4 linked regions of the Nothobranchius furzeri genome follow. The protein of the gene in region 1 purifies or fractionates together with the protein of each later gene. This does not show direct contact. Links are inferred from orthologs where the notes say so. Each region holds a gene or a part of one and is shown on either strand. Other genes may lie near its edges.

Region 1 (5,822 bases):
TCTTTGCTGCGAGCCTTGTCCATCCTCAACTCCAGACCCATGAACTTCTTGCCATTGAGCTCCAGTGCTTTGTTGAGGTCTTCCTCGGATGCAAAGTCCACATAGCCAAATTTCCTAGACGAAGTAAACCACAACAATTATTACTGACAGTTTAGGAAAAAATAAATAAAAAATAAAAATCTGCCCAAGGCCTACTTTGATCCCCCAAGTCGAACATCCACGATCTCCAGACTGTTTTTGGTGAAGAATTTTCTCAGCCCATCCTTGAGTTCATCGAAGTCTTTGCTGGAGTTTAGATTTCCGATAAAAAGGCTGAAACCTGTTGATAAGAAAATTGTGTCATTGTCAGACTGCATCAGAGTTGTGATGGTTTGTAATCACGATGAAAATTCATAAACATGTCTTACCTTCACCATCCGACTTTGCTTTTTTAGCAGGAGTCTCCTGCTTTTTGGTCTCTGCCTTCCTCTTTTGAGGTTTTGCTGGAGGTTCTGAGGAGAAAAGGTTACAGCTCTCATAACAAGGAAAGCAGAGTCTGACGCTCTGATAATCTCACATATTAAAACTTAATTTTTGAGTCAAGTTCCAGTACGAATATTAAGACACAAGAAAAGTTTCACAAAACTAACCTTCATCCTCCTCCTCATCATCATCTTCGTCGTCATCATCATCATCATCATCTTCCTCCTCCTCTGACTCCTCCTTGGCTTTGACCATGCCTGCTTTCTTTGCCTTGGTGGCTGCTGGAGCTGGAGTGGTGTCCATCTCCTCTTCTTCAGAGTCTGGAGTACAAACATCAGATCTGGACATCATTTCCTGTCCCCATGTTTTAGATCACATGATCCTTTTAAATCTACAATGGCAAATCTGCAAAACTAACTAGTCTAAAACACTTTCGTGCCTCTTAAAGGAAGACAAAAATAGTTTGTGAAGTTAAAAATTATGATAGCTGACGGGGAAAGAGAGTTCGGCGACTTTTTAAAAGCTGGCCCGTTTTGCAGATTTGCTATTGCAGCTTTGACCAACATCAGATATGTAAAAAGTGACATCAACCACAATCAGTATTAAGTCCCTTTTTCTTCATCACACAGTTAAAGCTGGTCCAGCGTAAAGTTTCTTTGTCAATAATTAAAAACAATAGAGAATCAGGCTTACCATCTTCATCGTCCTCCTCATCGTCAGACTCCTCTTTAGCAGGCTGTGCTTTAGCTGCAGATTTAGCAGCTGCTTTGGCCGCAGGTTTAGCGGCAGCTGCTTTGGCTGGAGTAGCCTTCTTTGGGGGTGGAGCTGCCTCCTCCTCCTCTGAATCATCTTCATCATCGTCGTCATCATCATCAGAAGACTCCTTTGGAGCAGGTTTGGCCTTTGCTGGGGCTTTGGCAGGAGGCTTGGCTGCTGGTTTTGCTGCTTTCTTGGGAGGTGGGGCCTCCTCTTCAGATTCATCTGAACAAGAAACATTGAAATTGGGTTATTTTTCACCCTCACTTCTAGGTAAGATTCATATAGAGCAGAAAACAAAACATGAAGCAATGTAACAGCGTTTGAGGATAGAACCGGCAGACATTAAAACACACCGGCACCGAAGACATAGCGCTGCCTTTACTTTTCCTCCGTACATTACACACATGAGTACCAATCAACTGCATGCATGCCAAGAAATGGAGGGTGTGGGGCCACTTCACTATTCACTTAGTCAAAGTTAACAAAAAAAAAAAAAAAAGTCTAAACCACCACATACCATCATCGTCATCTTCGTCGTCGTCATCATCATCAGACTGCTCAGCCTTGGCAGGCGCTGCTTTCACTGCTGTGGCTTTAGCAGCTGTCTTTGCAGATGCTGCTTTTGCAGGTGTCTTTTTAGGTGGTGGTGCCTCTTCCTCAGATTCCTCTGTGGGTGACCACGAGATAATTTCACAAATCAAATAAAATTTAACTTTTAGAAAAAAATCAATTATGCAACTAATAAATTATGCATTTAGGTTTATAATTTAAAATAAACTTTCTTAAGCAGCTCGTTATGTGTAGGCTAAATAAGAGTACATTGTGTGAGTTTGACGGGGATATCCCTTGAAAATTATTTTATTATGACATCAATAGGACCTGAAAAACCTAAATTTTATTAGTGCAGCTCACCAGAATCATCCTCTTCATCAGAACTTTCTTGTTTTTTGGCAGGGGTACCATTTTTGACTGCTGGGGAAGCTTTACCTGCTGCTTTTTTTGCTACTTTAGGTGGAGGGGTCTGGATTTTAAAAAGAAAGAAAGTTCAGTTATTTGAATTCAACAAACTGATATCAGTAACTAAGCAAGTGTTATACCTCTTCCTCCTCACTGCTTTCTTCTTCACTAGATTCCTCTTCCACTTTTTTGGGGGGTGGGGGGGCTTTTTTCTTTTTAATTTGTTGACTTGCTGCCTGAAAAAAAAAAGCCAGTGTTAATCCATAAAAACTAGAAAGACTACACAACAGTCAAAACGAATCTACAGCTCAACCGTTAAGCTTAAGTATATCAATTCAAGTTCATCCAAGTTAAACAAAAATAAATACCGCAAATAATGCAGACTGACTAACCAATCGTGACATCCGTCCGCCTTTACAGTAAACTACTTTCTCGGTTTTGGTTGAACACCGCGTGTGTCACTCATAGCGTGCGCCCACCCACGTGGAGCTCGTGAAGCTAACATAAGGCTAGCATCTGGGCTACATTTCACCACAGACGACTAAAACTACAACAAAAATCAAACCGCTTTGGGTAACAAACGTTCGACACGAAGATTCCAACAGATAACGAAAAACAAAACCCTTGAATTCGACTCAAAAACGTGTAAAGAAGATGCGGACCACGTACTTAAAATGTGCAACGTGCTAATGCTAAAACGGAATAGGATTAAACGTATGTTACATTATTACAAATGTATTACCAGTAACGTCAAAACTCTACTTTCCCACTTTAGTTTAATAAAAAAGCTCAATTTTTTAATCACAATAAAACCCAAACGCTTAAAAAGAGAAACGGACAAATAACACGACGAAAACTCGCCTAGCGTTAGCAGGCCGAGCTAGGCCTGGAAAACCAGAACCAGAGACGTCGACCAAATACAGCATGCTTTACATATTAGGGGGAAAAACTACTTTTGAAGGATTAGATTGTTAAAAATGTTGTGAAAATGCGCTGTCACTGCAACATATGCGCGCACATTCCTAACTTTGACTGGTTTTATTTTTCCAAAAACGCAGCACCTTAAGCCAAAGGCCTCGTGCGCCAAAAAAAAAAAATTCAAGCACGGCTCAGCGCGGACATTTTGATGTGATATAGATTCGTCTTACCTTTGCTAGCTTCACCATGGTTGCTTCTGATGTGTGTGTTTCAATGAAACACTAATATCTAAAGGTTTGATGACAAGTACCAAAATGTCTGCTGCATGCACGTGGATCTGTCTACTCAGTGGGACATTGGACTAGAAAGACAGACGGGTCGCAGAAGTGGTTTCTCTCCAGCTCCGCGCTGTGACGTCTGCCCGCCCACATGACCATTTCAACCAATCGGAAATTGACATATTTGCCTCGTGCACGCGCCTCGCCTACGAGCCGTTTACAGACTGTTTTTTTCTCTACACCTGAGCAAATTTCATCTAAAAATACCATTTCCGAGATTATCTGTGTGTTTAACTTCCAAGATTTGTCTTCGGATAGTGCCAAAAAAGTGCAATTTTCTAAATGTTGACACAAAGACAATGCGTCTTTATGCAACTCCGTGCAGCTGTTTTCTTTTGGTCAGCTGCCGTAAACCATCGACCGCGTCTACCACGTGGTTCTAGCATAACCCAGGGTATATTCAATCAGTTTTTAGGGCCACGTCGAACGTTTCAACCGCCAACAATAATTTGCCTTTAATAAAATATATTTTGATCAAACGTTACCACAGTTTTTCAATTGTACCAGTAAAGAGGATATCGCCCTCTCACTTTTTTTTCAAATCTCTTGAAGAGTTTGGGACACTGACACTGGGATTTTACAGCAAATACTAAAAGGGCAGAGGCATTGTGTATGCCACTGACTCCTCCAACCTGTGCTAAACATCTGGAGAAGCTGAGGTCCCACCCTATTTAGAATAGACTATTAATCCCATTTTGGGGAAATAACCTTGTTACTGCAGCACATACACTTTTAGACAAGGAAGAAGAAAACAACAAAAGTACAGGTAAACACATAGGCAGTAACCTGTTCTTGTAACATTCAACCCTCAAAACAATGAATACAAATAGACAACTGGGTTTCCAAAAATATGCAGCATAAGAGACACAGATAATGTACGTCCAGTATTGCACAATACTGAACACATGCTGAAAATGATATTTTTATATCTGATTCTATCTGATGATATTTTATCTGCCTCTCAAGATAAAAATCACGAGGTGCTTCACAAAAACAAAAAAACAATTAAAGTATAAAAAGATTTCAAAAATGATTAAAAATATGTTTAAAAGGAGAAAAGAAAAAAATGTAAGGAAAGGGAGAGAGAACATTTAATAGGGAAGAGGGACATTAATGGATCCTGGGAAAGGTGGAATAAGAGCAGAATAAGGGGAGGGAGGTGATGAAGGTCACGCAAAAGCTAGCTTGAACAGGTGAGATTTCAGCTGTATTTTAAAGGAGACCACTGAGTCCACCAATCTTAGGCTCAGGGGGAGAGAGTTCCAGAGTCTGGGGGCCACAGCAGCAAATTATCTGTCACCTTTGGTGTTTAGCCTGGTGCGTTGCACAACCAGTAGGCTTTGGTCACTGGACCTCAGGGACCCGCTGGGGGTGTAGGGATGGAGAAGATCACCAATGTATGATGGTGCTTGTCCATGTAAGGCCCTATAGACCAGAACCAGGATCTTGAAATGAACCCTGAAGTTGACTGGCAGCCTGTGAAGCTGGAGGAGAAGTGGGGTGATGTGAGTGTGTTTGGAGGACTTGGTCAGAAGCCGAGCACAGGCTTTCTGAACCACCTGTAGACGGTTCAGGTTCTGCTCAGACACGTGAAAAGAGAGTTACAGTAGTCTAAGCGTGAGGAGATGAAGGTGTGGATAACTGTCTCAAGTTCAGAGCGGGACAGAATGGGACTCAGCTTAGCAATGTTCCTGGGATGGAAGAAGGAAGAGCGAACAAGAGAACTGACATGAGAATCCAGGGTGAGAGCTGGGTCAAAGGTCACGCCAAGATTCCTGACGGAGGTTTTGGTGTGAGAAGCAAGCTGACCAAGAGAGTCTCTGACTTTGGGAACCAGCTTGTCTGGGGCACTGATGAGGATCTCAGTCTTATCTTCATTCAGCTGTAGAAAGTTCCCAGCCATCCAGGTTTTGATAGAGTCTAAGCAGGCGTGTAACAGCTGCAGCTTAGGCATCTCATGGGGCTTAAAGGAGATGTACAGTTGGATGTCATCTGCGTAAAGATGGTAGGAGCTCCTTTGAAGGAGCTCAGGATGTGCTGAAGAGGAAGCAGATAGAGGAGGAAGTGCAGAGGCCCCAGCACAGAGCCTTGTGGGACACCATGGGTAAGAGAGGTGGTGGAGGACCTAAACTTGGAGACGGCCACAGAAAAGGAACTCTCAGACAGATAAGAGAAGAACCACTCCAGAGCAGATCCTGATAGGCCTACCCAGTCTCTCAGCCTCTCCAGTAGCAGGTGATGGTCAACAGTGTCAAAGGCCGCAGTCAGGTCCAGCAGGACCAGAACAGAACAATCCCCTGCTTCACTGTGGGTCAGAAGGTCATTAGAGACCCTAAGAAGAGCTGTTTCAGTAGAATGAGCTCTACAAAAACCTGACTGGAAGCTATC
Region 2 (5,642 bases), on another chromosome or scaffold:
CATAAAATCTCAACTATATCATCACATTTAACCGATAAGTAATCAGAAATGTGAAGCCTGAGTGTCCCCTCACCTGTCCCAGGCCTGTCTCTGCTCAGGACTGAACGGATGGACTCTGTGAACGTGTTTTGGATGGTTTAGAAGGAGCTGGGCATACTGAACCAAGCGGTAAATCCACATGGTGCCATCAGCTGTTACGCCGAGCACCCGTCTCTGATTGACGGCCGTGCCGTCGTCGCTAGGTGGCATGTGGTGCAGCGACATGAGGAGTCTGGATGGAAGACAGATGGGACGGGACTTAACTGAAGCTGCAGAGGCAAAGTCTGACTTCTTTAATAAAGTTGGTAATACTTAAGGAAATTAGACTTCTTCTCACCCAAAAAAAGAACTGACGAGCACTCCTCTGGTTTTCTCGTCAAGCGGGATGGAAGGCTTTGAACTAGTCTCTGCGATGTCAGAGGAGGCCTTCTGGGTGCCGAAGAAGGCGTGGAAAAAGACAAACCTGGAAAAGGAGCAAGTCAGAATCATGGTTTTCTCCTCGACTCCCACAGAAACCCTGAAGCTGCTCACCAGGAAGCTCACCTGGCCACGTCCATGATGAGATCCTCCTGCTTCTTCACCTGACTGTTGTCGATGATGGAGGCAAGTCGAGAAACAATCCACCTCCTCAGGTGGAAAACGGCGCTGTCCTTCCTGAAGGAGCATTAGAGTTAAAAGGTGTTTTTTCAGTCAGCTAAAGAAGCGGGCGTATAAACTCACTGCTCTCCACCCTCCTGCTTGCCCTTCTGCTTGCGGGTGCTGAAGTCCAGCAGCTCTTCCATCCGAGGCTGAAGAAACATTCCTTTAAGCCACTCCACGTAGCTCTGCAAGGCTGCAGGCTGAAGATGCTGCACCACCTTCCACACTGGCAACACCACAGGCAAACCCAAGTGGGTCAGCGAGGAGAAGCCCACCATGACCGCCAGCTGCTTGTCTGAGTCCTGACAGGCCTGCAGGAAGTCCAACACGTAGGTGTCCATCTCCGGGGCCAGCTTGAAGCGGCCCGGTTTCTGGAAAAGAAAAACAGCCATCCAGATCTACAGCTCACCAAGACCTCACTTGTTATTCCTCTGATTCGAGTGAAATCTAAAATTCACCCTGGAACTAACCTGAGATGCAAGAACGTGTTCTCCGTAGTGCATCATCACTTCTCCAGATAAGACCGTCTTCAGCTGGGACAACGACAGCAGAGGGAGGGCGCTTCCCAGCAGGCGGAAGCTCAGATAACTGAACAGAATCAACAATGGGAAGGCTGGATGTTAGAATAAAAATTCACTTGCAGGGAAGAACAAAGTCATACAAGAAAATAAAAACTACACTTTTCACATTTTAGAGCTTTGTTTCCACGTTTTGGGTCCGATTCATTCACATCCTCGTAATAAACTCACTGAGTCACTCCGAACGGCTCCCTGAACATTCCCTCTGTGATGGCTTTGTTCCAGAAGAGCTGGAAGCTGTCCTCCTTCAGAGAGAGCTTCAGGAGGTCCAGAGCAACGGCTGGTAGAGTTAACTCCTTCTTCACAGAGTGAGCTGCCATCTTTAACACCTCTATCAATCTGACAGATAAGGTTTTTAATGATAATAAGCAGGAGGAGACGGTTGAATGCGTATTTTGAGACCTGATTCCCGAATTCTCACTTTGGAATGTTGTCAGCGTTAATGATGGTGGAGGAGCCCAGCAGCTTCTTGAGTTTCTTCGGCTTGAGAGTTTGAGGGAAGCGCTGCAGCGCCACCAACAGCAGCTGCAGCTGCTCGGGAGTGTTGAAGGCTGACGCCAGGTCAGTCTGCAGGGCGCCCAGCAGGACCTCCTCGAACACCTCCTCTGGGATCTGAAGGCCAAGAGGGCAGCATGTGAGTGCGTTTTGAGGTTAAACTGATACAAAGTGGAAAGCTGCAACCAGGACGCAGCGGTCACCTCAGTGAGGATGTCCACCATGGTTTTACTGGGCAGGTCCTTCAGGTGCTGCTTGTGCTGAGTCAGACTCTGGAGGAGCGTCACACATCCCAACACCACCTGTGGCTCCTGCAGAGATCAGAGCTGCTATAAGTGTTTTTGACTCTTTAGAATGTTAACCTTAAAAAACAAAAAAAAAAAAAACTCCCAACTCACTTCAGCGAGACGTCCAGACTGATGAAGAGCGAGGACGCCAAACAAGTTTCCGAACATCGCATTTCTGGCAAGTTTCTATGAAACAACGTGATTTTGGTGAGTGGAAACGCCCGTTAGTGAAGTTCCTGATGCCAAAGGAGTCCTGAGCATCTAAACTCACCTTCTTCACAGCCTGTATGTTGTGTTTCTCTTTGATTCTGTTCAGTATACTCTGCAGGGAGACGTCCTTAAAGGCACTCAAGACCTGAAAGAGGAAACTTATCGCTTAATTTGAAACATTGAAGTTTTTTGATTTCTACAAACTGGTGAACTTTAAAGTTGAATCGACCAATCAAGCGGGCTGGCGGTGCCCTCACCTGTCCCAGAGCCAGGCTGAACCCAGGCCTGGCTGTCTCCCGGGTGTGGGACAGTCCGTCCACCAGACGTTTAAACGTGTAATCCAGTTCATCGGCCTGCAGGACAGAAACAACATCCGTAAAACTTTCTACACACCACTGAGACTGGGAACATTTAGACATCACTACTCTCAGAAGAGCCCCAGGCCAGCTGTGGCTACATGGTAGCTCATCCCTACCAGTGTGTAAATGTGTGATTGTGCTGTGAAGCGTCTTGGGGGCGCTATACAAATACAGGCCATTTAAAACTCATGTCTTTATCTTTGAGTATAAATGACTTGATGAACATTTTATTTTTGTTTTGATATACCGGTATTAAACTTGCACTTTGCTTTATACTTTATTTTTATATTTAATTAACGCCTTCTACTTTGTTGTGAACTTTTAGCTGATTGTTAAACACTAGTGAAATTGTTTTTAACAGAAACTAATTTAGTCCGTTAAAACTTGATTTTCTTTGAGTTATTGTCCAATTATGAAGAAAAAGTTTTTTAAACCAAAACGTAGGCGATTTTATTAAGAAATTGACAATTTAGTCAGTGATATAATCATTTGAATCTAAAAACTTTTATTCTGATTTACTAAAACTTTAACTTCAGAGGACATAATGCATCTGAGTCTGGATCGTGTCCAGGCAGTTTCTCACCTTGTTTTCTGTTTTCAGGTACTGGATCAGGTTCTCCACGGCCTTCAGTCGGACCTCCTGATCCGGTTTAGCTAAATCCCAGAAGAAGTCGAGGAAGACCCGGTTCTGCTGTAAAACCCCGGCCGGTCGCAGCGGCTCCGCTGCCTTCACCAACAGTTCCACCATCTCTACAGACATCTGCTCTCAGAACCACCTCTGATCAACATGCTGCTACGGGAGGAAAACGTGTTTCCACAGACACAAACCACTTCCGGGTCAATTCAGATGAGGGTTGCTCTTTAGCGATAGGCCGGCGCAAGACTCGGATTTCATCGTTAAAGAATGCTGCCCAGTAGTTGCACCTCCACGTGCGCCGGTGACAACATGATGTAAACCCCCATTTTTTTGTTCTTTCAATAAACTTTGTTTTGATCATCAGCGTTTTTTGTGGGAAGGTGGAACAGTCTAAACCAGGGCCAGATCCATATCCATGGAAACTTCTTGATGTTGAGGGTTTTTCTGACTGTATCTTTTTTTTTCAGTTAAAATCTAAGTGAAAGCTACTGAAGCTTATTTAGGAAAGAGCATTCTCAGGGTTTAATCTTGTTTTTCTAACAAAGACCTCAATAAGCGCCTCCTGAATTTTATCTTGAGAGGTACTATAACTAATGTTTCTTATTCAATTGGCAAAAACTAAATCCAGACTTTAATATGAATTTAGTGACAATTAACCCATGCTACTTTTAAATCACTTTTTATTTAATTATTCAGTAAGTAAATTCTTTCTCTTTAAGCATTTACTCGTTTTGTGATATGATGCTGTGACAAGAGCGTTCACTTTGGTATTGTAGACCATCTTCATTACCGTGTTTTTGGTTTCCTAACTTTAAATCAAACCACACACATCCACAACACATTTCATCTTTGCATAAAAATGTATTCTTTATTAAAACTGCATGCATAACCCGTTGCTTCCTGCACAAATTAATGAGCAGAAAAGGGAAACTGGATGTTGACAAAAACATGACACATCACAATCACATGGTGGCTCTTTGTGCATTCTTTCACTCGATCCGAGCAGTGAGCACAGTGTCCAGAGCGCTCTGAGCATCTTTTATCTGCTGCTGCAGTCTCTGCTTCATAGCCTCGTTCTGGGCTTTTTTCAGCATGTCCTGCATGTCTTTGATAGCAGCCTGGTAGCCTGGCGCATTATGAAACACTCTGATAGCCTTGTCGCCGCTGCACACCAAGAAGCGGCTGTTAATGTCAAACCTGAGGTCGGAGATGTTTTCACTGTGGACACCGTGCAGTTCCTTCTCCAGATTCCCAGTGGCAGCATCGTACATCGCTATGTTACAACCATTGCTGATGGCCACAACACGGCCATCAGGGGACAAAGCCACTCTGCTGCCTTCGGAGGAGGAGCAAGGGACCGTCTTCAGGAGGTAAGGATCCTGCTGCTTTTTGTACTCTACATCTGTGTTCCACAGCTTCCACGTTCCATCTTTAGAGACGGTGACCATCCTGATCGATAAAAGAAAGAAAAACAAATCAGTTATATTAAAGTGTCGTAGATAATCTGTGTGTTTTTTCCATTTAGCAGAGTGATTGCTTCAGATATCAAACATAGGAACTGGATCTCACTGATGAATTTCAAGCTTCATTGTGCAAACAGAACTAACGATTTAACACCCACTGTGTCCTCATCAGATGACACCCTTGGTGTTGAATCATTAGTTCTGTTTGCACAATGAAGCTGGAAATTACTCAGCGTGCCCCAGATCATCTTTGGTATTGGAAGCTGTTTGTCTTATCGCTTTTAAATTCAAAGCACAACAAGCCTCCTCTGTGGCTCTGTGTTGTAAACAAACACTTTTATTACCTGTGAGAGTTGTTAGAAAAAGCAAAAGCATGAACTCCTGCAGAATGGCCTTTCAGATCAAACGCTCGAGCGACCTCTCTGAACTCTCCTCCCTTCCCAAAGCAAACCTCCCAAACCTTCACGTCAGGAGTGAAACCACAGGATGCTACAAACCTGAGCACAGGGAGAAAACAATGACAATCCTACAGATTTTGATATGCATCCTTTAAAACTATGCAGACCAATTTAGCTTGAGTTGTTTTAGTTTTAGGTTTGTGCAAAATGTGCTGTGGTTAAGCCACCATCAAACCCTAAAAGTCTATTTTGGTGCAGGATGTTTACGCCACCACTGAGAGTTGAAAAGGTCAGGGGAAAAAAAAAAAAAGATTTTAGCAACGAAACCCAGCTACAGATATGCTGAGTCTAAAAAGTAAACACCACATTTTTAATTTAAGTTCCTCTGACTGACCTGCCACAGGGGGAGACAGCAGCATAAGAACTGGTCATCTGGTTGGTGTTGATGGAGGCCAGCAGCTCTCCTTTCAGGTCCCAGATGTGGATAGTAGTGTCTGTGGAGGCACTCATGATGAACTTGCCTGCATGGAGGAAAAA
Region 3 (5,750 bases), on another chromosome or scaffold:
ATGGTTCAGACCAGACCTAGAGAAACACTTCATACGTTCATCTCCAGCAGGCTGGACTACTGCAAGGGTCTTTTGGCTGATCTTCCCAAAAAGCTGTGAAGCAACTGCGGCTTATTCAGAACGCTGCTGCTACTCTTAACAAGAACCGAACACATCACTCCTGTTCTTAAATCTCTACACTGGTTACCAGTAAACTACACAATCAATTTCAAAGTACTTGTAGTATATAAATAACTCAATGGCATGGGGCCAGAATACGCCAGATCTCCTTCAGGTGTTTACACCCAGCAGGGCGCCGAGATCCTCAAGCAGCAGTTTACACCAGCCTTTGAATACATTTCTAATGCTGCACCTTCTGCACTGTAGTTGCTCACCCGTCAACGGGTTCTTTTGAAATTGCATTTTCTGTCACGTTTATTTCAACGTTCTTGCTGATTAAAAGCACATTGAATTTCCTCTGTGAATGAAATATAAAGCTGCCTTGCCTTATTTGTGATCAAACTCAATATCTATACATTTACTAACAATTCAGCAGCATCCCAAATAAATACGTTTAGTGAACGCACTTTAGAGGCATGAGATTTTAAATCAGTAATTGAAATGGCACTCCCATTTTTTCTCATTCATCACATTCAGTGATTTTCAGCAACTTACAAGGTGAGAAATTCTGCCGAATGCTGAAAAAAGACACAGCAGAACAATTCAACAGGACATTTATTTTGTGAAAACTTTTCACTTCTTTGCAGCTTCCTTCTGGAGCTTCTTCACCTCGTGCTTGATGATCTTGTTCCTCTGCAGACAGAAAGGTGCACTGATTAGAACAGGGTTAAATGATATTTAATTTAATTATCTCACCCGCTGAGCTCCACATTGGTCCCAAGACTACTTTTAACACTTTACTGATCTGTTTTGCATAGAAAAAAAGCTTCTAATTAAAAGCCTCTGCTATACTCACCATCCTCTTGGCCTTCATCACCTTGTAGCGGTCAAAGTCAGACATCTTAGCCCTCTGGAGACGAGCCAAACAAAAACAGGTCAGCGACATAACGTGTGGTTTGCTTTTAACTTGGTTTGTGTTAAAATTATGAACTAATCTGATTTTAAAAGGTTCAGCTGTAATCCCTCTGATGGGACAGGTCACACCAGCCAGTATGTAAACCGATTACACAGCAGTGGGCAACAACATCCTGATATAACGCTTTGGTCACACTGTAGGGTTATTTTATCCATTTTGTTAGCTGCACAAACAAGTGTGGATATAAAACCATTGTGCACTTGATGGTAGGAAACAACGTCTAATTAATGCTAATATTTAGAAAACTGGTGCAAAACGGTTAAGACGTTGAAAGTACAATGATTGTTACAGTACAGATGATCAAACACGGAGATGAACTAACAGCAAAACAAAACTCTGACAGCATTTTACCTTCTGCCTAGCCTCGATCTTCTTGGCCCAGCTGCTCTCTGACCACTTCTCGTTGACCTGGGCCTTCTCCCAGGCTCGCTTCACAAACTTCTGACGAGCACTGTGAACCAAAACAAACAGCGTACAGATCTAAGAGCTTTCTTGTGTTATTCAGAAAAGTGTGAAGTTAGAAATGCTCGACACATTTTACAACCATGACTGAGAAGCCAGGCTGCTGCAGGAAAACTGTAAACCCCATTCACCCCAAATCACCAAAAACGTGGGATGACTCGAAAAATCAGGTCTGATTAACACAAGGGCGCTGAGCCGACATCTACATGAAAACCGCACCAGCTGTTGAAGCAAATGAAATCCATCCAGTTGAATTTGCAAAATAAACTAACAGTTATTAACTAAAGGACAGAGGTTTCAGCATCCGGAACATCATTATTCAAATAGGGAGCAATAATAAACGGCAGCTCAAAATCATATTTAATTTAACATAGTGTGAATTTAAACTCAAAAACAGGTAAAGACCAGCAGTAACAGAAGCAAGCAGAAAGAACATTGCTGGCTGTTCTCTTGTGTGATTTTAAAATGCGAGGCTTGGATCAGCGGAAGGATGAAAGTGGAGGCAAGTAAAAAAAAAAGACAGGATAGAGAAGATGCTCCGAACCCTGAACCTGCAACCCAACATTAAGTCTAACGTGTCCTAGTGAGAGAAAAACAACAAACCACTCAATCTTAGACTGCTCGCTTGCTTATCCCAATTAAGTGGCTGTGGCTTCTAGTTTACATAAATGAGTTTCTATGTTAAAATGCTTCAGGGCTCCTGTTTCAAGAGACAACAGTTAGTGTGAGAAGTGGTAGATGGAAAACAACAGGATTGTGAGTGGAAAGTATTGCAGTTCAGTCACCGGTTAAATTAAAAATCAAGTATTAGTCTCTCAGCAAACCTTTAAGCACCAGAATCAAAATTAGCTTTATGTCAAATTTACACAAACAAGTTCACTAACATACTTCATGTTTGCCGCCTTTCTACCAGATAAAACATAATATCTGAACATAAACAAATCCTGTGAACTAGTAACATTTAACATGTGCAACACCGTGTGACAGCTATTGGTTGTGTAAACATGTGGATTATCTTTAATACACTATATAACTTCATAAACCCCTTCAGTGTAAACACGCACCTGTGAGGTACTTTGATGACGTAGTCAGTAAGCTGCATGCACTTGAATGGCATGGCTTGCCTCTTTACTCCAGTGCAGGGACCATCAACAAGTGCCTGCGAAGCAAAATAAAATAAAAATCCTTATATCAACGTAAACACACTAACTTACAGTTAATTCCCCAATCCACTCACCCTGTTCTGGTCAATGACGTCTACTATGGCCACCAGCTTGCCAGCATTGGGTCCAAAGGAGATGTAGGCAACACGGCCGATCTCAACAAAGCGGTTGAACACCTGACGGAGACGAGAGGCTGGTTAGGATCTACGTTGACTTTAAACATATATCACACATTGGGCTCTATCGCGCGAATACACTGAGAAATGTGACATACACCGATTTAAAATACGGAACTGGACCGCTAGAGCGAGCTAACAGCATGTGTTTCTGCGTTAACATCAAGGATTAGCGGACGCACAGAGTAGAAACGTGTATGTGACACCCAGAGCGGACAACAGGCAGCTTCATCATAACCTAAAAGTTGCGTTTGATCTGGTTAATGAGCAAGCGCTCGGGCTCTGCGGCCTGATAGACCACGTTGCCGATAACTTCAGTCAGCGTTGAAATCTAGAAATACACCTACGTAAACATTTTAAACTTAGCAAATGTGTGCGTGAGTGTTTTATAAATGCACACTGATGTTATTTTTTACACTAACTGAACAAATAACTACTCCTTTTGAATAAGTTTTCTCCTCGTCTCATGGCGAACTCACCATGATGGCAGTCGGGGAGCAAAAAGGACGTTACAGCTTCCGGCTGCTGCACATGACGACTTCCGTTTTGGGTTTGCACGTGCGCAGTGAGTTCTACTTAAAAAAAATCAAAAGAAATGTTATTAAATGTGTGTAATGTAATAGTTTAACCAAAAAAAGGACGCTGCTCACAATGTATCATGCAGAGACGCGCAAAATGAAAACGTGTGTGCCACACCCAGTTCAGAAATAAGTTTATCGAGTGAAAGCCAACGCCAAAACAAAACCTGTAAGCTATTGACTGAGGTGAATCAAACTGAATGGTAATTATTTTAAAACAAGAACTTGATAATATCAGTAGTTTCAGGTGACACGTTGAAATGGTATAATTAATGTCTTTGAATGCACCATCAGGGAGGTTTTTTTTAGGACGAATGTGCAATAATAAACTAAAACAGGGCTGAAGAATCTTACTAAGATTATAAAGTCACATTTCCTGTTACTTACTAGTGAATTGTCTTTAGGACTAAAGATAGAGATACCCGAAGCAGTAATTATTATTTAATTAATCCCAGAAAAATCTGAACCATTGGATGTAATGAGACTTGTCATTATGAGGCAGTTTTACTAACCAAAGCTGCAAGACTGTCCTGTCTCATGCTATTCCTCATATTATGGAAGCCCATTACTGCCACTCAGATAAAAAAAAATCTCATAATTATGACTTAGCTATCTCATAATTATGACTTAGCTATCTCATAATTATGACTTAGCTATCTCATAATAATGAGATACTATCTCATTATTGAGATAGTATCTCATAATAATGAGATACTATCTCATTATTATGACTTAGCTATCTCATAATTATGAGATACTATCTCATTATTATGAGATAGTATCTCATTACTATCTCATAATTATGAGATACTGTCTCATAATTATGAGGTACTATCCCACAATAATGAGATACTATCTCATAATTATGAGATAGCTAAGTCATAATAATAATGAGATAATATCTCATAATAATGAGATAGTATCTCACAATTATGAGATTGTAATGAGATACTATCTCATTATTCTGATATGATATAATTATGAGATATGAATTTTTTTATCTGAGTGGCGGGAATGGGCTTCCATAACTTCCTTCTACTTTGTAATATTGAAAAAATATTCCTGAAAACTATTTCATAACAAATGTTTCTTTTATGGTCACTGATTTACAAGCATATTTCCCTCCATGAAGATACATGTGAAACAAGACTTTTAAAAACAAATCTTTGTTTTTTTCCTTTAGTTTAATAACAACTTTCACTATATTTCATATCAAGATTTTACAAGGCTACCAACTCTACTTGTGTAGTGCATAGACATGAATACATAGATGCTCCATTGGGCACAGGATAGCGTAACAGTGTCGCTGCCATATTGGATGGGTCTCCTCACTCTCCAAAGTCAATGCAGAATGAGTAACTATGCCCGTTTTGTGCAGCCTACAGTTGCAACAACTGGCACACTAATGAAAAAGATTGATAAAATGTGTTTTTTAGTTGGGTAACCACCTTCCTCAGTAATAAATGCAGTGAAGATGAATGGAGGCCAATCCAAGATGGAGCTACGGCAGCGCCAGTCCACGGGTCATCTACGTACATATGTCTGTGGTGCCGCGCACCAGGCTAAAGACCAAAGGTGACAGATCATTTGCTGCTGTGGCCCCCAGACTCTGGAACACTTTCCCCCTGAGCCTGAGATCAGTGGACTCAGTGGTCTCCTTCAAAAAGAAGCTGAAAGCTCATCTGTTCAAGCTGGCTTCCGTGTGACCTCCTGTTCATCCTCGTCTTCCTGACTGGCTTCTATTCATGCTTAGATTCTGTCCGTTATGTCTTTTTTCAGGATACTGTGATTACCTTTGTTCTTTTTCTTTTTTTTCATCATATTTTCAATCAAAAAATGTTTCCCTTTATCCATCCATCCATTCATCCATCCATTTTCATCCACTTATCTGGAGTAGGGTTGTGGGGGCAGTAGCCAAAGGCGAGAGGCCCAGACTTCCCTCTCCTCAGCCACTTGGGCCAGCTCTTCCGGGGGAATCCCAAAGCATTCCCTGGTCAGATGAGAGACACAGTCCCTCCAACGTGTCCTGGGTCTATACCTTTAGGCCTCCTCCTGGTTGGACGTGCCCAGAAAACCTCACCAGAGAGGCGTCCAGGAGGCATCCTGACCAGATGCCCTAGCCATCTCAACCGGCATTTATACATTTTTTATTACAATATATTTTTAAAAATATTTTTAAAAATGTCTTCTTGTGAAGTGCCTCATGAATTTTTATTAAATTTGTTTAAGAATAGTTTTTTATTTTTCTTCTATCAGAAAATGTATTATTGTTACAAATGCAATCCCTGATGGGGGA
Region 4 (5,627 bases), on another chromosome or scaffold:
TGGGTACAACAAAACAAACGTGGCGTCAATAAAAGAGCTCACTAACTGGTTGCTATGATGAAAGAGAGTCTGATGTGCTTGTCGTCTTGCTGGAGGTTACGCTAATACGCTCCCAGGAATGTTTTACCCTAATGGCCATCTGCCGGTAAGGATTTACTGGAACACAACAATACTGCTTGCTTGCAATGATTTATGTATGTACTGCCCCCTTTTGCCAGGGAAAATATGCATCGTCATTTGAACTTGGTTCTTTCTGGAGAAAGCATAAACAGTGTTCTTTTTACCTGTAATATGTTTTAACCAAGTACTGTTTTTCATTCTGACAGAAATTGGAGAATATGAATTTAGTATCTTATTAGTTATAATTTTATAGTATTTTATCTAGCGCCTCTCGGGGAAAAAAGTCACGAGGCGCTTCACAAAACAAAAAAATACAAATATAATTTTTTTTTAAATATCTTTAAAATGACTAAAAATAAAAGTTGTGATAAAAAATGTAAGGAAAGGGAGAGAGAAAATGAATAGGAAAGAGGGAGATCGGCACCAGAATGAACGGGACAAATAAATAAAACCTATTAAAACATGAATTATTTGAAATGCAGATTTTGAGTCCTTTGAGGTCAGTGTGTGATAAGGGTCGCTGTGTGTCTTAGTGCATGTTGTCTAGAGTCATCTGCATGGGACTTATGCATGGATATGTTGTGCTCTCCTTGCCCTCTTCCCAAAGGCATGATGGGAGCTTACGGCCCACCTTACATGCCCATGCAGGGCCCTCATGAGGGTTTGCTGAGCGTGGCACCAATGCCACCTCACTCTGGGGGGGTTCCTCACCTGCCTCCTCACCATCTCCAGCAAGGTATGCCCGGATACCCTGGCATGCCCCATCAGGGTAAGGGCCCACTGTCCCAGCCACACTTGCTCAGTCACATGCAGTCGTGTCTCTCCGGCTGTGGAGGGGTTTACCTGGTCCACAGGCTGCATAGCCTGAGCTACACACCGAACTGTCGAAGCTCGCTGGTCTTGCCCATCCAGATCTACATTCACATAGTTATGCATGACAAACTGATACCAGATGACTAACATTTAGCTAATTTTCATGCATTAACTTTCTCAGAGGCTGTGTTGAAAACATGAAGCAAACTATAAATTAGGTAAATTCCTTTTCCTCATTTGTCAGAGTAAATCTTGTGTTTAAACAGGTATGATGGGCGCTGGTGCAAATGGGATGGCAGGAAGTCCTGGACAAGGAAATTTTATGCAACAGGTGTTTTTTTTGTTTTTTTTTTTGTTAATACAGAGCAGTTGAAACCATGTTGTAAATAAAAGCTAGACTGACTGAAATGAACAGTGCGGGTTTACCACAATTGCTTTATTTTATTTTAGCCTGGGGTGTTTAGTCCAGGACAGCACGCTCCTCCACCATATCCCGGACAGGGCCAGCCATCTCATCTGCAGCCCACCACTCCCATGTTTGTTGGACCACCACCAAAGACCCAGAGGGTGCTCCACTCAGAAGCCTACCTGAAGTACATTGAGGGCTTAAATTCAGAATCAAGCACTGTCAGCAAGTGGGACCAAATGCTAAAAGGTGATGCTTTTCCCCTCACTCCCAAATCAGTTTGCTTCTCTGTGCGTTGATGCAAATTCAACATTTTTGTTGTTGTTGTTTACTGATAACTTTTATCCATAACAGCTCAAAGACGAGATGCTCACTTTACCAAAGAGCAGGAGAGTCGCCTTCCAGCACACTGGTTGAAGAGCAAAGGAGCTCACACAACAATGGTGGATGCGTTGTGGCGTTTACGGGACTTGATGCTGAGAGACTCACTGAATATTTGTCAGGCTTACAACCTGTAACCTCCCAAACAGAACCACTAACCTCAGTAACTACTCTTATCCTCAGTTTGTGGAGTTTTCAAATGGTAGAAAGCAATATTTTATAGTGGGTCACAACCATTTTATATTTATTAGCTAAAAAAGTGAACTTGATAGTGATTTGTGTGCATTTTTATACCGTCTTAAATCATAGTTCTGCTAAAACCTGTGATTTTATTTTATTGTCTTATTGATGCAACCAGAATAAAAAGCTGCAAACCTCATGTTTGTTTCATTTTTTATGTAGCTTCTTGCCTTTTTGGATTTTATTTTTGAAGTACTTCCGGTTTGATGACGCCATTTCCGTGAGACGATCAAGACCGTGCCATTCTCTTTAGTGTTTGCCGTGTCCTCCCAATGTTCGCCTCCTTGCCTCCCGCATTTTGAATACAAATTAACAGACACTGACTCTTGAAGCTGAACGTAAAACCAAACAAACCCCATTAAGCCATATTTTATTATGGATTAACAAAAAAAAAACGAAGAAAAGTAGCGAAGAGGTGAGGCTTGCTTTGTGCACTGTCGGCTTTAGCTAGCTGCTAAGCTAATTTGTCAACACCGGCTGCTTTCTGGTTCGTTGGCCAAATAACCTGAAACATGTCCTTGACCAGACTAAAAAAATATTGTAAGACTTTACTGATGTTTAGTTGTAAGCTAAGTGTTTTTGGTAAGTTTTTTACCTAACGATTCTAAAAGTGATATCAGGTTGCTACACCGGTGCCTTTGCGGTGAGCTGACCGGTTTGCTAACATGCTCCTTCGGAGTAGCCTTTATTAACTCCTCGCGGCCTTATTTAGAAATGGATCATGTTCTGACAATAATGTATGTATATATGTTTTAAATATTTGTAAAGACAAGAGTTATGGGCTGTATAATGCATTGACATGTTTTTTGCAAGTGTTTTTGGTCCATTCTCTGCATCGGCTAACCTGCCAGTAATCTTGTTTTTAACATAAATGTAGCATTAAGATAACCTTTTAGCAACAAAAAGCATGCTATTAAGTTCCGCAGTTTGTTGCGTGCGACCGGTGGTCCATGGGAAATGAGAGGTGGTTCAGTTAGAGGCTTTAGAGGCTCATCCTTTCCAGCCAAACTGATGTGATGGAGAAACGTGAATATCAGAACAAGCAGACGCTGCTGAAATCTGATTTTCAATCTTTGTCCTTTGTTTTGCAATGGATCAAGATCCAATCATGAAAAATAACAAAACGGATGAAAAATGTTTACAGTTCATCACCCAGGCAGGATGGGTGTCAAGTTAAAGCATGAAAAACATGCCATCAGTGCAATAATCCAGTATTACTGAATAACATGTTTGCTGCTGCGTAAAGGCTTTTTGCACATTATTTAGTCCGGTAAAGATTAAATTTAATGTATGTATTTTTATATCTGCCTTTTCTTATATCATGTTTATTTTATTGTTTGCGCCACTTGAGTGCCACCCAGTTTCAAGTATTCACATGCAATGCCACTAAAACCTTCTGATTTCTAAACAGGGGGTCTCCCTCCTGAAGCTAGGGAGGAGCCCCTTGAGCTCTGGTTCTTGGCCTGGGCTTTGGGTCTGATTGTGGCCTGGCTCATGCACCATGGTCAGATACTGGGGGTGCTGCCGTCCCTTCTGGAGCCAAGAAGGAGACCCATGAGCTCTGGTTCTCAGCTTGGGCTGTAGGTCTGAGTATGGCCCGGCTCATGCAACATGGTTGGAGTTAAACAAATATTATATCACAATGACAAAGGAACATTTTTGACATAACATTTATAAGTTATCTTTGAAGAGGTTCTTTAAATGAATAAACAGTTTATTTAAAAAAATTAAACAGCCATGGGCACCAAGTAAACATTTGGTGTATCTCATTGTCATGTGTCAGCCTCAACGTATCTCTTCAGTAAGTGAAAAGAAATAAATGATAAAGAAAAATGTGGACACCTGCTAGAAAGAGTGCTACTTTTGCAATATATGCATTTTTAATTACATAAATTGATGTACTGTTGAGAGATTTGCAATAACTACAGGCACTGATTTAATGATATTAATGGTCAAATTAGCTACATTTAATCCAGTGGCGGTTTTTAGAACCAACATAAATATATAAACCTCACAATGAAGCTAATAACTGCAATAAATTGCAATCATCTCTCTTGTAACAAAACCATGCTAATTTTCTAACCAAGAATCGTTTGAAAATGCAAATTATTTGGTAAAATACATTTGTTATAATATCATATTTCTTTCTCAGACTCTTCTCCAGGCCAAGCTTTTATCCTGACCTCTTCAGTCCTCGGTCACTCCCACACTGTAAATCACTAATCTTGACTTCAACCTTCAACAATACAAGAGCAATGAGGATGTCTCAGCTTCAGTTTCAGTGTCCTGTTAGTTCCATGCCTGCTGCTTCTGCCCCCCTTCAGCTGGGACAGCCGCAGCCTGGCTACAGCATCCCCTGTGCTACGGGCGCCCTACCATCGGAGAGTGCCAGTCAGCCCATCAGGAGCTCCGCCCTCCCTGCGGGCTCTGCCACTCCTTATAATACCACCACAGGTACTTTCTTTTTGAAATAGTTTGGGTTTCTTTCCTTCACCATCTAGATCTGGGTTGACTCCAGAAGCTGTGGCTGTCTGCATCTTTCTTTAATGGTGTTTATTATTTTGTTTCAGTAAACATGGCAAACCCTAAAGAGAAGACCCCCATGTGCTTGGTGAATGAGTTAGCTCGTTTCAACAAGCTCCAACCTGAATATAAGCTGCTTTCTGAGCAAGGGCCAGCACACTCCAAGGTACAGCGGGTGTGAAGTCTCACACGTCCAACCCGTTGTCCTGTCGGGTTTACAGTAATGATAGAAGGTCTGTTTCAGATTTTCTCAGTGAGGTTGACGCTGGGAGATCAACACTGGGAGGCGGAGGGGACCAGTATCAAGAAAGCCCAGCATTCCGCTGCTGCTTCTGCTCTTACTGAGACAACTCTTCCCAAACCCACCATGAGGATGCCGCGTAACACAGGCAGGAACCCACATGGGCTTCTCCCGCTGGTTCTGTTTTCTCATTATAATTAACATTTTACGATCGGAGAGTTGATGTGTTACATTTTGTATTTTCTTGTGTCCCCTGCAGCTGATGGCATCACACACACCATGGAGCTGAATGCACTTTGCATAAAGCTCGGTAAAAAACCCATCTATAAACCCATCGACCCGTATCCCGGGATGAGACCGCCGAACTTCAACTACAACGTTCGTGCTCCGCCTTACCAGCGCTCTATGCAACAGTCAGTTTACACCAATTTAAAAAATCATATTTCCTCTGTTTAGCCTCTGATTTTCAAGAGTGGAACAACTTTCCTTATCTTTCCAGGTACTACTATCCATTTACCCCGGTAGGACCGATGATTTATCACATGGAGCTCTCCATCGGGGGTCAGCAGTACGTTGGAAAGGGGCGTACACGGCAGATGGCCAAACACGATGCTGCTGCCAAAGCGCTGAAAGTCCTGCAGAAGGAGCCCATGCTGCAGCAGTGTCCAGAGGTGGGAAGAGTAGCCATCACCAGACAGCTTAAATACTGTTTTGTTAATATTTCACATTGTTTTATTTTTAAATGTGTAACAGGTGAATGGAGAATCCGAGGATGAGAACCTAAACAAATCAGAAATTAGCCAAGTTTTTGAAATTGCCCTCAAACGAAACTTACCTGTCATCTTTGAGGTTTGGATGTTTGCTAACATCAGAAGTCTTAAGATGAATGTTCAAGTTGCGACT

What was found.
Region 2: the proteins of ncl (region 1) and mybbp1a purify together in Homo sapiens (affinity purification with mass spectrometry; 3 studies listed by BioGRID and IntAct, with this or other methods). This does not show direct contact. The link is inferred for Nothobranchius furzeri from reciprocal best matches to the Homo sapiens genes NCL and MYBBP1A.
Region 3: the proteins of ncl (region 1) and rpl14 purify together in Homo sapiens (affinity purification with mass spectrometry; 3 studies listed by BioGRID and IntAct, with this or other methods). This does not show direct contact. The link is inferred for Nothobranchius furzeri from reciprocal best matches to the Homo sapiens genes NCL and RPL14.
Region 4: the proteins of ncl (region 1) and stau1 purify together in Homo sapiens (affinity purification with mass spectrometry; 4 studies listed by BioGRID and IntAct, with this or other methods). This does not show direct contact. The link is inferred for Nothobranchius furzeri from reciprocal best matches to the Homo sapiens genes NCL and STAU1.

What each region holds. Positions count from the first base shown.
Region 1 is NC_091748.1:62,944,462-62,950,283, forward strand, and holds the start of ncl (nucleolin), read right to left. Parts: upstream 3,515-5,822; 5' UTR 3,345-3,514; coding exon 3,327-3,344; intron 2,415-3,326; coding exon 2,319-2,414; intron 2,243-2,318; coding exon 2,134-2,242; intron 1,889-2,133; coding exon 1,739-1,888; intron 1,666-1,738; exon of another isoform or gene 1,528-1,665; intron 1,444-1,527; coding exon 1,156-1,443; intron 783-1,155; coding exon 630-782; intron 492-629; coding exon 408-491; intron 320-407; coding exon 196-319; intron 115-195; coding exon 1-114. UniProt on the Homo sapiens protein: Nucleolin is the major nucleolar protein of growing eukaryotic cells. It is found associated with intranucleolar chromatin and pre-ribosomal particles. It induces chromatin decondensation by binding to histone H1.
Region 2 is NC_091750.1:52,602,690-52,608,331, forward strand, and holds the start of mybbp1a (myb-binding protein 1A-like protein), read right to left. Parts: upstream 3,444-5,642; 5' UTR 3,368-3,443; coding exon 3,191-3,367; intron 2,602-3,190; coding exon 2,506-2,601; intron 2,394-2,505; coding exon 2,310-2,393; intron 2,225-2,309; coding exon 2,150-2,224; intron 2,063-2,149; coding exon 1,955-2,062; intron 1,869-1,954; coding exon 1,678-1,868; intron 1,596-1,677; coding exon 1,428-1,595; intron 1,267-1,427; coding exon 1,149-1,266; intron 1,050-1,148; coding exon 760-1,049; intron 694-759; coding exon 583-693; intron 503-582; coding exon 377-502; intron 272-376; coding exon 74-271; intron 1-73. Other genes in the region: tbl2 (transducin beta-like protein 2), read right to left, coding at 4,234-4,693, 5,052-5,204, 5,500-5,626. UniProt on the Homo sapiens protein: May activate or repress transcription via interactions with sequence specific DNA-binding proteins. Repression may be mediated at least in part by histone deacetylase activity (HDAC activity).
Region 3 is NC_091751.1:21,576,191-21,581,940, reverse strand, and holds rpl14 (large ribosomal subunit protein eL14), read right to left. Parts: upstream 3,444-5,750; 5' UTR 3,359-3,443; coding exon 3,356-3,358; intron 2,877-3,355; coding exon 2,775-2,876; intron 2,697-2,774; coding exon 2,602-2,696; intron 1,527-2,601; coding exon 1,427-1,526; intron 1,010-1,426; coding exon 956-1,009; intron 793-955; coding exon 733-792; 3' UTR 697-732; downstream 1-696.
Region 4 is NC_091743.1:66,055,095-66,060,721, reverse strand, and holds the start of stau1 (double-stranded RNA-binding protein Staufen homolog 1), read left to right. Parts: upstream 1-2,184; 5' UTR 2,185-2,375; intron 2,376-4,112; 5' UTR 4,113-4,215; coding exon 4,216-4,414; intron 4,415-4,530; coding exon 4,531-4,649; intron 4,650-4,727; coding exon 4,728-4,872; intron 4,873-4,983; coding exon 4,984-5,137; intron 5,138-5,223; coding exon 5,224-5,395; intron 5,396-5,477; coding exon 5,478-5,573; intron 5,574-5,627. Other genes in the region: pbrm1l (polybromo 1, like), read left to right, coding at 728-889, 1,200-1,264, 1,384-1,588, 1,694-1,857. UniProt on the Homo sapiens protein: Binds double-stranded RNA (regardless of the sequence) and tubulin.